2 linked regions of the Danio rerio genome follow. The protein of the gene in region 2 interacts with the protein of the main gene of each other region in a pairwise test. Links are inferred from orthologs where the notes say so. Each region holds a gene or a part of one and is shown on either strand. Other genes may lie near its edges.

The links.
Region 1: the proteins of pomp (region 2) and psmb8a interact in a two-hybrid assay, tested with the Homo sapiens proteins (2 studies listed by BioGRID). The link is inferred for Danio rerio from reciprocal best matches to the Homo sapiens genes POMP and PSMB8.

Annotation. Positions count from the first base shown.
Region 1 is NC_133194.1:8,161,963-8,167,812, reverse strand, and holds the start of psmb8a (proteasome subunit beta type-8), read left to right. Parts: upstream 1-2,358; 5' UTR 2,359-2,644; coding exon 2,645-2,782; intron 2,783-3,135; coding exon 3,136-3,277; intron 3,278-3,424; coding exon 3,425-3,536; intron 3,537-5,850. Other genes in the region: psmb13a (proteasome 20S subunit beta 13a), read left to right, coding at 11-126, 270-328, 570-721, 877-997. UniProt on the Homo sapiens protein: The proteasome is a multicatalytic proteinase complex which is characterized by its ability to cleave peptides with Arg, Phe, Tyr, Leu, and Glu adjacent to the leaving group at neutral or slightly basic pH.
Region 2 is NC_133196.1:43,980,400-43,986,510, reverse strand, and holds the start of pomp (proteasome maturation protein), read left to right. Parts: upstream 1-2,693; 5' UTR 2,694-2,720; coding exon 2,721-2,723; intron 2,724-4,516; coding exon 4,517-4,617; intron 4,618-4,701; coding exon 4,702-4,762; intron 4,763-5,597; coding exon 5,598-5,699; intron 5,700-5,793; coding exon 5,794-5,887; intron 5,888-6,111. UniProt on the Homo sapiens protein: Molecular chaperone essential for the assembly of standard proteasomes and immunoproteasomes. Degraded after completion of proteasome maturation. Mediates the association of 20S preproteasome with the endoplasmic reticulum.

The DNA.
Region 1 (5,850 bases), on a different chromosome or scaffold from region 2:
CCTTTCTCAGGTATCATGGTATGATTGGAGCTAATCTAATTTTAGGAGGCGTTGATTGCACTGGCAGTCACTTGTACACAGTTGGTCCTTATGGGAGCATGGACAAGGTGCCATATCTGGCCATGGGTACGCAAGATGCAACTGTTGTCTGATAAACCCTTATTAAACACTCAACACTAGCTATATCTTGAATATGAAAACTTGTTTAGATTGATTTTACAAACAACTGCTCAAGGGAACTCATGCATCTGTGTTTCTCCTGTTTTTAGGATCTGGTGATCTGGCTGCCATGGGCATACTGGAGGACAGATTTAAAGTAAACATGGATGTAAGTTGGATTTATCTACTTGTAAGATTTCTAATATAATCCCATTAGGCTCTGGGCCATGACAAATGAGTGAGGTTGCGTTTGTCACTTTCCTGGTGTTATTGGCAATTCAAATTTGCCAATCAAATTATGCTTGCATTACTCTTCCTACTTTAATTTTATATCATTTTTTACTTAAGAACCTTGAAATATTACCCTTTTTATTTCATGGATGTGCACTAAATGTCATTCTTGTCTTTAGCTGGAGCAGGCGAAGGCTCTGGTAAGTGATGCCATCCAAGCTGGCATCATGTGTGACCTGGGATCTGGAAACAACATTGACCTGTGTGTCATTACAAAAGAGGGGGTGGACTATATCAGACCTCACAAAGAGTCCCCTTATAACTACAAGAGGTAGAAAACCTTGTCATCTTTTTATTTATTTTTCTGGTCACACATTGTACTATACAACTCACATGCATTAACTGCATATATTTAAAAGTTGATGATATTTAGTTTGATGTTTGACGTTGGTAATTTATTGATTCCTTTCTATCATTGTGTTACAGACAAGCCAAGTATAAATATAAATCAGGTACAACACCAATTTTAACTAAAACCGTGAATAAGCTCGAGCTGGACTTGGTGCAGGAGACTGTTCAGATGATGGAAACATCTGCATCAAGTTGATCCGAGTCATACACCATGATGTCTGGAATGAGGAAGAGGGATCCTTTCAACTCAACTGCTGACAAACAGATGATGCCATTATGTTTGTTGTTTGTGTTCTTAATTCCATCACTGGTAGACCTGTGCAGATAATTATCAATAAACCATTACATTTTACAGTATATACACTGCAAAGCCTTTTTATTGCTTAAAAAAACACTCCAGGAACATGGTCTGCATTGTTGATGCTAATGCTTATTTGACATTCCTAAATAATTGAATAAAGCCTAATATTATTTCAGAACAGTAATGAAAAAGTAAAAATACATCTGTAAAATGTATTATGCAAAACTGAGTTGTGTAAATATGTGTAGGTATTTTATAATGCAGTTTTCATAAATTTAACAACACAAGATTATGGCCAAATATCTCCACTGTGGTCTCATCTGTAAAAATATTGTTCTATAATCTTATGGTTTGTTCAAATGACACTTTGCAAACTGAAACTGCTGCCATGTTTTTATTTTTTATAGAAAAGAAATTTCTTTTCACAACCTTTTTAAACATACCATAGTTTTCCCATCTTTTCTAAATGTACTGATCTTGAGCATGATAATTTAAATGTTAACTGAGGTCTTTAGAGTTTGTGGGGAAGTTTTGTCTGGCAGTTCAGTGTGCTTTACACCGTTTGGTCTTGGGATTAACTTGCTGTTAAAAATAAATGTGTTTACTCTTTAAAAAAATATTTTATTACACAAGTAATAACACATTAATATACGATTACTCATTAATTTTTTTTCCGCTTAGTCCCTTTATTAATCTGGGGTCTCCTCAGCAGAATGAACCGCCAACTTATCCAGCATATGTTTTACACAGCGGATGCCCTTCCAGTTGCAACCCAACACTGGGAAAATAATTGATTATGTTATAATAAAATAATAATATTTCTTTTTCACTCGTTTATTTATTTCCTCATATGGAAAACCATGAATTTCAAGAGATTGTCCTATACTTTCACATGACTGCTTACATAGATTCAGGCTTATTAAATAGATTAATTCCTATATGGTACACATTAGGCAAGTGATATCCTAAATCTAGGCCTTTGTAAAAGTACATTTTTGTACTTTTATCTAGCAAAGAAAAAGGCCAGTCAGTGCCTTTAAGACATCTAGTAATAACAAAGTCTGATAGCCAGTATTTTAAGTTAATTTAGGCTTGTTTACACGCATATCTTGTGAAAAATGTTATGCTTCCGCATCTTTTTCACCTGGTTTAACCTACATCAGTTAAATCTACATAGAGACTGAAGACGACGAGAGAGACTCCCTCACTCCCATTGGTCAACCCATCTGCAGAGTTTTCCCTCAGACAATCACTAAGTTATCATGTTGTTTGTAGATACTCTTAAACAACATTTAATAACCTAAAAGACAACATTTATGTACACCTGTTATTCAAAGATATAGATTATGCTTTTAGTTTGTTTTTAAAGATACTTTCTGGTCGTTATCGAAACCAAATTAAGCTTCTCTGAATCTTTCGGTTTCGAAATCGTTGTCTTCCGTGCATGGATCGTATTTCCTTCATGTAAAATAGCCTAATACACTTTGGTTACTTCGCTTTTAGTGTTTTAATTACTGCCATTAGCTGTGCGTAACATACAGGATGGCTCTTTTGGACGTAAGTGGATATAAATATAATTCCGCCTCACAGTTTGGCTTTAAACAAACGCTTCTCGACCGCTCGAATCACTACAGTTTTGGGACCAAATGTCAGGAATTCGCGGTACCTGTTGGAGTTGACGTAAGTGTTTTTATGATAAAAAATCTAATACTTAATCCTAGCAAATATTAGCAAGACCGAAGTGATAAAGATGAAATATGTCGTGTTTGAAGAAACAAGATTAAACAACAATTACTCATAAAAATCAATATTTGATACACAAACTCAATTTTAGTATTGTTTAAGAAGGTGTAAAACAGGTAAGTGTTAATCAAAATGCATTTTTAAAAGTCATGGTTTGCTATGTATCTCCCAGATAATTCTGCTTATTGAAATATAGGGGGCAGAGTCTCAACAGTAGCCTAAATATAATTTAAACTTATAAATAAGCAAGTTTTCCTTAATTAAACATTATTATTCTGTGTTTCCATCAGCCCTCCAAGTTTCTCAAATCGTGTAGTTGTGAAGATGGCGTTTGCATAGATCTGAATCATGGCACCACAACACTGGCATTCAAATTCCGTCATGGAGTCATTGTGGCTGTAGACTCCAGAGCTTCAGCTGGAAAATATATTGGTAAGCAATCAGTTATCAAAACTACAAACACATTCATATGTTATAAAACAGGGTTGTTTTACAGCTCAGCCATGACATTTCATATTAAAGCAGTATTGGTAAACTTCATTAAATCATGTGTCTATGCTTTATCATGATGTGTTTCAGCATCAAAGGAGGCCAATAAAGTGATTGAGATCAACCCTTACCTGCTGGGCACCATGTCGGGCAGCGCTGCAGACTGTCAGTACTGGGAGAGACTCCTGGCTAAAGAGTGCAGGTCTGTCTCAGCATGCTTCAGAAGGGGATGAGCATCTGCTCACAGGATGAAATTACCAGTTTGTGTTTGTGTTCAATAGTGCTAGAAAATGTATTCAGTCTAATGTGGCTGAAGCTTAACAAAACTTTAAAGAGTTAAAGAAATTTCTACTAATCACTTTGATCCAGTTCTGGTAATGCAAACATCTTTAGGTATAAAACATTTTTAATTATATGATATATACTATGGATGCATGATGGCGCAGTGTTGCATGCCTCACAGCAAGGTTGCTGGTTCGAGCCCCGGCTGGGTCAGTTGACATTTCTGTGTGGAGTTTGCATGTTCTCCCCGTGTTGGCGTGGGTTTCCTCTTGGTGGTCCGGTTTCCCCCACAAGGCCAAAGACTTGCAGTATAGGTAAATTGGGTAAGATAAAATTGTCCATGGTGTATGTGTGAATGAGTGTGTATGGATGTTTCCCAGTACTGGGTTGCAGCTGAATAAGCATCCGCTGTGTAAAAAATGTGCTGGAAAAGTTGTCGGTTCATTCCACTGTGGCGACCCCAGATTAATAAAGTGACTTATCTGAAAAGAAAATTAATTAATAATATATACTATATAAGTGGTATGGTGGCTCAGTGGTCAGCACTTACAGCAAAAAGGTTGCTGGTTCGAATCCCGGCTGGGTCTGTTGGCATTTCTGTGTGGAGTTTGCATGTTCTCACCGTGTTCACTTGGATTTCCTCCCGGTGCTTTGGTTTCCCCCACAGTCCAAAGACATGCTCTATAGGTGAATTGGGTAAGCTAAATTGGCCGTGGTGTGTGTGTGTGTGTGTGTGTGTGTGTGTGTGTGTGTGTGTGTGTGTGTGTGTGTGTGTGTGTGTGTGTGTGTGTGAATGTGAAAGTCTATGGGTGGCGTGAATATATTTTATTTCATTTTCTTGTCGGCTTAGTCCCATTATCTCTGGGGAACATCCACACAGACACACACACTCATACACTACAGACAATTTAGCCTACCCAATTCACCTGTACCGTATGTCTTTGGACTGTAGGGGAAACCGGAGCACCCAGAGGAATCTAACGCGAATGCAGAGAGAACATGCAAACTCCACACAGAAATGCCAACTGAGCCGTGGTTCAAACCATCGACCTTCTTGCTGTGAGGCGACAGCACTACCTACTGCGCCACTGCATCGTCATGTGTATATATATATATATATATATTTTTTTTTTTTTCTCTTGTCTTAGTCCCTTTATTAATTAGGGGTCGCCACAGTGGAATGAACCACCAACTTATCCACTTGACCCAGCCAAGGCTCAAACCAGCGACCTTCTATAATATAATCTTAATATATATTATTTATAATTGTCTGATTCTGTGTCTGCTGCCCTGTCTGGTTTTCAATTATTTGGTCAAATTACTGGTTAGTAGTGTATCTGAATCTTATAGTGTACTATTACCCATGAATTATTTTCCAACCCTTTGAAACATATTCTTATAGTTTTCTCTATCTTAAAATAAATGTACAGTGTGCATAAGTATACAGATTTCTTTAAGTATACAGATCTCTTTATTTTTATTTGGTATTGGTTTGTCTTTCAGCTGTTTTATTTCTCACTTAGTCCTGATTAGGACAGTAGGATGGGTGCCAAACCCACCCTGGCTTTCCTGGTCAAGGCTTAATGGGAAGTTTTAAATACATTTTCATCAATTGTTTTTATTGATTAATAATGAAAGTCCATCGGTTTACAAATAACATTGGAATATAAAAATAACATTTATAGTGTCCCACTTTCAGAAACTGGTGCTCTGCATTAAATCATCCAAGTGCGCTCACAGACACACATTTACACACACCTGGAGCAATGGGCAGCCATATTTCTTTGTTGCCTGGTAATCAATTGTGGGTGAAGGGTCTCACTTTAGTAGTGTCTTTGAGGGTGGTGAAAGCACTGGTTATTCATTATGATGAACAAATTAAAGTGTATGCTTGTTTATGTAAGGATAAATCTATACATTGATCAGCATGTGTACACTGACTACAGCATACATGGCAACGTAAACTACAAATGTCAGCTGACATCAAATCCTCATTGGTTTCTGCATATAATGTGACCAGACACAATGTTTGAGGATCATGTCATTCTATCTGTATAGTGTTCTGTCAATATGTTGACCAGTGTTTTGATATGAACTATTAATTGAATAAACACTTAAATTTCACTTTGTTCATTATAAAAGATGATCATTTTGTTTGAGTTTGAATGAGATGACGGGAACTTTGATGGGAATCTCTGTCACTTCCAATTGTAGATACTCTTGGGACAAAGTAA
Region 2 (6,111 bases):
ATAAATAAATAATAATTACTAATACTTCCCTTCTTAGACTTTACAGACCTGAAACTTGCCTATAGCACTTATTCATTGTTGCTCTTAGTTGTGTAAATTGCTTCCTTGTCCTCATTTGTAAGTCGCTTTGGATAAAAGCGTCTGCTAAATGACTAAATGTAAATGTAAATGTTACAAGCATTGGATCTGGTTGTAATTGCAATTTACTTTTATTATTATTGATGAATTATTATTATTATAGAATTGAGAAAAATAGACATTTTTTGTGTCATAAGATAAATATTGAATTAGTGATGTAAAGTAACAAATTACAAATACTCAAATGACTGTAATTGAGGAGGTTTTCTCAGAAATTGTAATTTACTAAGTAGCTTTAAAACTGTTTACTTATATTTTCCCCTTGAGTGCATTTTTGGTGCTGTATCTGTACTTTTAATCCACTACTTTACTTTAATCTGCAGTCACTACTTTATTTTTTTCGTGTTTATGGGATTAGAAAAATCAGTCCTGTAATTCTTGTCCAATCAGAACACACATAGAAAGTAAATTGCATCATGATAAACCACCTCAAGACATGGCCAATTTATAATTGCAGCAAACTGTTTGGAATCAGCAAACTGTAATAAAAGTGTCCAAGATGTCCAAAACCTTTACATGCAATGACCCAGAGACTGTTTAGATGCATGTCACTGATGAGAAGATGATGGATGTTTACCGTGTGAAGACCAAAGTGGCCCTAAACACCCACAGAGCAGGCACAAGACATCAACATGACTTGACGTTGTACAAGATTGACGTTGTACCCCAGCGGTGTAGGGACAATGCATTTTATTTGGAAATGAAAATTGGATTGACGTCAGAACGTCAGAATGTCCAATGTCCAACCTAAAAGCAACCAGATCTAATGACGCTACAGCCTGACGTTGTGTGAATGCTACCACTATGACGTCTATCAGATGTTGAGTTTTGGTTGCTCGTACCTGACGGATAAATAGCCGCGTTTTCACTATCGCACTTAAAGCAAGTGAGCCAGCGCGAGCCAAAGCCAGTCGCGTATCCACTGTCACTTCCGGGGCCTAATCGGGCCAAATCGGGGCTTTCTTGGGGCCTGCGGCCGGCCTTTTTTGGCCTGCCGAATACCTTGGGCCAAAGAGGGAGTATTTGACCTCAAAATGACATTGGTTTAAGATGTTGGCTCTGCATTGGATTTTGTTTGCTTTCTAACGCAACCTAAAATCAACCAAATATTAACATCATTTGACAAAATAATTTGGTCCTTAGACGCTGGCTAGACAATGAATTTTGGTCACCTGACACCACAACCTAAACTTATCCTAATATTAACGTCTTATGACGTTGTGAACCTGCTGGCCAATTACTTGATGCACTACAGAATGTTACGTTTACACACACATGCACATGGCTGTGTCCGAAACCGCATACTTCCATACTATATAGTACGCTAAAATCAGTATGCGAGCCGTGTAGTATGTCCGATTTCATAGAATTCGAAAATCAGTATGCGAGAAGTACCCGGATGACTTACTACTTCCGGCGAGACTCTGAAGTGCGCATCCCAATGCACGCTGCGCTATCCCATAATGCCCCGTGAGAGAATTCATGAATGGAAGTGAGGCGACACAACTGACGCAGGTAGGTCACGTGTCCATGACAAATTGGCGGATGTAGTACGTCCGAATTCCATTCAAACTTTTCACATTCATACTGTATAGAACGTACTTTTCTAACGGCCGAGTAGTACGTTTAAATTCAAATGCAGTACCTACTGAGTAGTAGGCGGTTTCAGACGCAGCCCATGTAAATTCATCAGCTTTTAACAGTGTAATACTCACTACTGACTACTCTTGAGTACTTTTGAAAAGGTCTATTTTTTACTCATACTTTGAAAAGTATTTACCACAGATACTTTTACTCACACTACATTTTTATGTAAGCCATGGTGCTTTTACTTGAGTATGATTTTTCAGTGCTAGAATATGAGAAAGTTTTCTTTTTCTTTTTTTCTTCAAAATCTTGTTATATTCCGCTGTGTATTCACTTTTCTCAAAATGAAATATTTCAAGAGCTTTGTTCTTCTTGCTTTTGTTACAACTCAAAATATTTAAACATTTTCTTAAACTTGAACTCTGCATATTCATGCATATTCAAGTTGTGGAACCACTTAAGTGTGATTTAATAGTCAGTTTCCTGTTACTATCTCTTTAAATAGATTGCAAAAAATAATAATAAAGAACTTGTCGATGCGATTATTATATATTGTTACAATTATATTTGAGAAAGACATCGCTCTTACTTCGCAGAGTTGTCTGTCTCATTTGAGTTTGCCTAAATCTATCATGCAAATTATAATTACTAAAAGGACAGAAAAATAATGAGTATTGAGGGGGCACCCGGATTTGAACCGGGGACCTCTTGATCTGCAGTCAAATGCTCTACCACTGAGCTATACCCCCTTTCTCATACCACACTGCTCCATGAAGTGTTATTGTAGACAAATAAGAAATGTTCATTCTGGTATTTCTTTATTGATTATGTCAGTGGCCTATATATATGATCGGCAATATTAACAAAGATCTATTTATGGTATAAACCGCTCTCAAATATAATTTCATACGTCGTCGTCACATGATAACAAAAGTATATCCGGGGACTGACCGGAAGTACATTAACTCTAGTCGGAAAGACAAGCTAGATAAAAGATGGTAATGTTGAACTTCAGTTTTTACTTTTATTTTATTTTATTTCCCTTTTTTACATTGGGCCATTTTTTTAGATGGCTATTTAGGTTGTTTTCAGCATACTATGAAACTATGTACATATAGCATTGAAAAGCGCTTATTTCAGCTGTGCCGGTTGTTAGCTTGCTAGCATAGCATGGCAGATCGTGTTTATTTATTTCCTAGAGCAGATTAAGTTATCAGTTTGCAATTAATGTCATGAGCACTTATTATTTGCTTTGGCATTTTATTTATGATACATATTATTGCTTTGTATTGATTTTGTCGGCTTTTTTGTTAGCATCTGAGTGAATTGTGATGCGTCATTGCTTCAACTCCAGTCATCGCTTAACTTACTTTCAGTTTGTATTTAAGTTACCTGTAAGTTAGGGGGATTTTTGGAAAAGGTTTTGGGAGATTAAGACATCAGATCAGGCCAGAACTATTATTAATTGTTTCCTGATTAAATATTATAACTTAATATATTGATAATAATTGCATTTTCCAGAACTTGAGCAATCCAGTATAACCTGATATCAACGAGACATTTTTATGTAGTCATTTTTTCACTGACAGGAATAGTTTTACAGACAGTATTGCATTTTACCTAAGATTTAGCATATATCTAACCATTGTTTAAATACGTTAAAGAGAAGAATCCTTTATTATACAAATGTTTTGTTGAGGTAGTTTGTTTTTCTTATTAATAATACAACTTCAGAAAATATTCTTTGCCAATGACTAAGAACTATTGTTCACAGTCAGTATTGAAGTCAATAGAGGTAAAGTTGGTTTTATATTCGGATATTCAGACTTTCTCCTTAATAATATAATTTCAAAAAAGCAATGCTTAACATTTCTTAATAGGGAAATTATATTAGCAGCAAATGATTATCAAAGTACAGCATTGTTCACAGTGAATTAGATAGAGTTAATGTTGTTTAGTAGTCATACTTGCATACTAATTCCTATCGAATATTCAAAGTAACATGGTAAACAATATAGACTGCTAAATTAACAAATGTGCAAATATAAAACCAACTTTACCTCTATTTGAAGTCATACTTCCATGCAGTTTCAGACTGAATATTCAAAGTCGTGTGGTTGTCTCTGTTTTTAAAATGAAGCAATGTGTAAATATAAAGCCGGCTTAACTTCAGTTTTTTCCCCATATAAACAATATTTGCTAACATTTAAGTCTAACATTGATTTAAGTGCACTTTTGGTGTTTCATTCGATTTTGTTCTGCATATTCGTATAGTTTTGTTGATGTCTGTGAGTTTTTTTTTTTTTTTTAAATGGTAAATGCTATTGATGATCGTTTTGTCGTGTTATGAAAATATGCATTTTTGGTGTCACAATACTATAAAGACAGTCATGTTCAAATGATGAATCTTATTCCTTTTCTTATACTTGTAAATTCTCATATTTATAATTTGTAAGTTTTCCTACAAAAATAAAGATTTTATCTCCTAGAAGGACAATTAATAATACATCTAATTAGTATGGTTTTCTATGGAATAAAAAAATAATAGGCAAAATTGTAAACAATTAGTTTTATATAACTCAGTGTTTATGTGCAACACATCTTGTTCACAGAAGCTTTTAATGTTGTATGTTATGTAATTATTTTCATTATCTTTTGCATAATGTGTGTGTTAATAAAGACATAATCTTTTAGAGACATGAACATGTAGAGTTGTAACTGTCAAAAACCCATTCGGGTCTGTTTTCACATCAGCGGTGTTTAATTATCTTGCTGTGTGTGTTTTCCTCAGAACACTCGTGGCCTGCGCTCTCAGCTGAAGGACAGTGTTCCTGTCACAGGTCTGTGTCCTCAGGCTGGTCCTTATGGGGTCCAAGACTCTCTGCGCAGAGGGTGAGTTTTGCCTACAGAAACCTGTGCTGTGTTTGTTTCTGCCTCTTTTACAATTTTTCTTTTGACATTTTTCTTTGCTCATAGGTTCTCTAGTGTCAAAAATGAGCTTCTACCGAGTCATCCATTGGAGCTCTCTGAGAAAAATGTAAGTGGAATGAAGAATTTGTCTGTCTGTGTGCAATTACATAGAACAAGCTCATTTTTGTACATATAAATGGTTTTAAATGGGCATACATGTGGGTCATATGACATAAAAATGTATATTTTTTAATTAAAACTTAAAATTTGTTACCCTGGAGCACAGAATATTTATGTTGTACAGGTATATTTTTAACAATATGCAAAAATACATTATATATACTGTTGAAGTCAGAATTATTAGCCTCCACTTGATTTTTTTTCCCTTTTTTAAATACTTCCTAAATGATGAACAGAGCAGGGAAATGTTCACAGTATGTCTGATAATGTTTTTTCTTCTGGAGAAAGTCTTATTTGTTTTATTTTGACTCGAATAAAAGCAGTTTTTAATTTTTTAAACACCATTTTATGGTCAAATTAATAGATAAATGCATTAAATCGACATGCATTCACGAGCGGTTGTCGCGACTCGCTAGAAATGAGAATCACTTGTAATGTTGATTAATGTAATATTGATTACACCTACCCCAACCATAAATCCAAAAAGCTTTGTTTTTCCCATCTCTAGCATAAACTACTATGGCTATACTGAAAAAGTCAGCAGATAGTTTACTTCAGATCATGGAGAAGAAAAAAACAAGCAAACATTTTAAACATGAATGTTACAACTTAGTTAAACCAGCAATATCAGTTACTCAGCTTGTACTTTTAATAATGTTTATGACTTTTAATATTCATTCATAAGATTAGAAACCTGTCCATTTTGTTGGGAGTTGTTAGAGCATGGTGTAACAAAAGTGTAACTCCACCTTGCTTTTTTTATTTATTTTTTATCAAACCAGTTTCAGCTTAACCAGGACAAGATGAATTTCAACACGCTAAGGAACATCCAGGGTCTCCATGCGCCCCTCAAACTACAGATGGAGTACAGAGCAGCTAAACAGGTATCATTCGTGATGCTTGTTTACATGTGAATTATGCCAATAACACTTCATGATCATTATGGAAGATGATCACGTGTAAACATTGTACTTTCAGATTCAGCGTTTGCCCTTCCTCCCAAGCTCAAATCTGGCTCTGGATACTCTTCGAGGCAGCGATGACACCATCGGCTTTGAGGACATTCTCAATGGTATGAAGGAAACATCCATGATAATAGCACAAAAATCACCGGTCAAGTGCTTAAAGGAGAACTATTATGCTCCTTTTTTATGAGACGTTAAAATAAGTCTCTGATGTCCTGTGTGTGTCTGTGAAGTTTCAGCTCAAAATATAACACAAATAATATTTTATAAAAGAAATTGATCCTATTTGTGCCATTTTGTTGACTGTTGCTTTAAATTCAAATGAGATTGT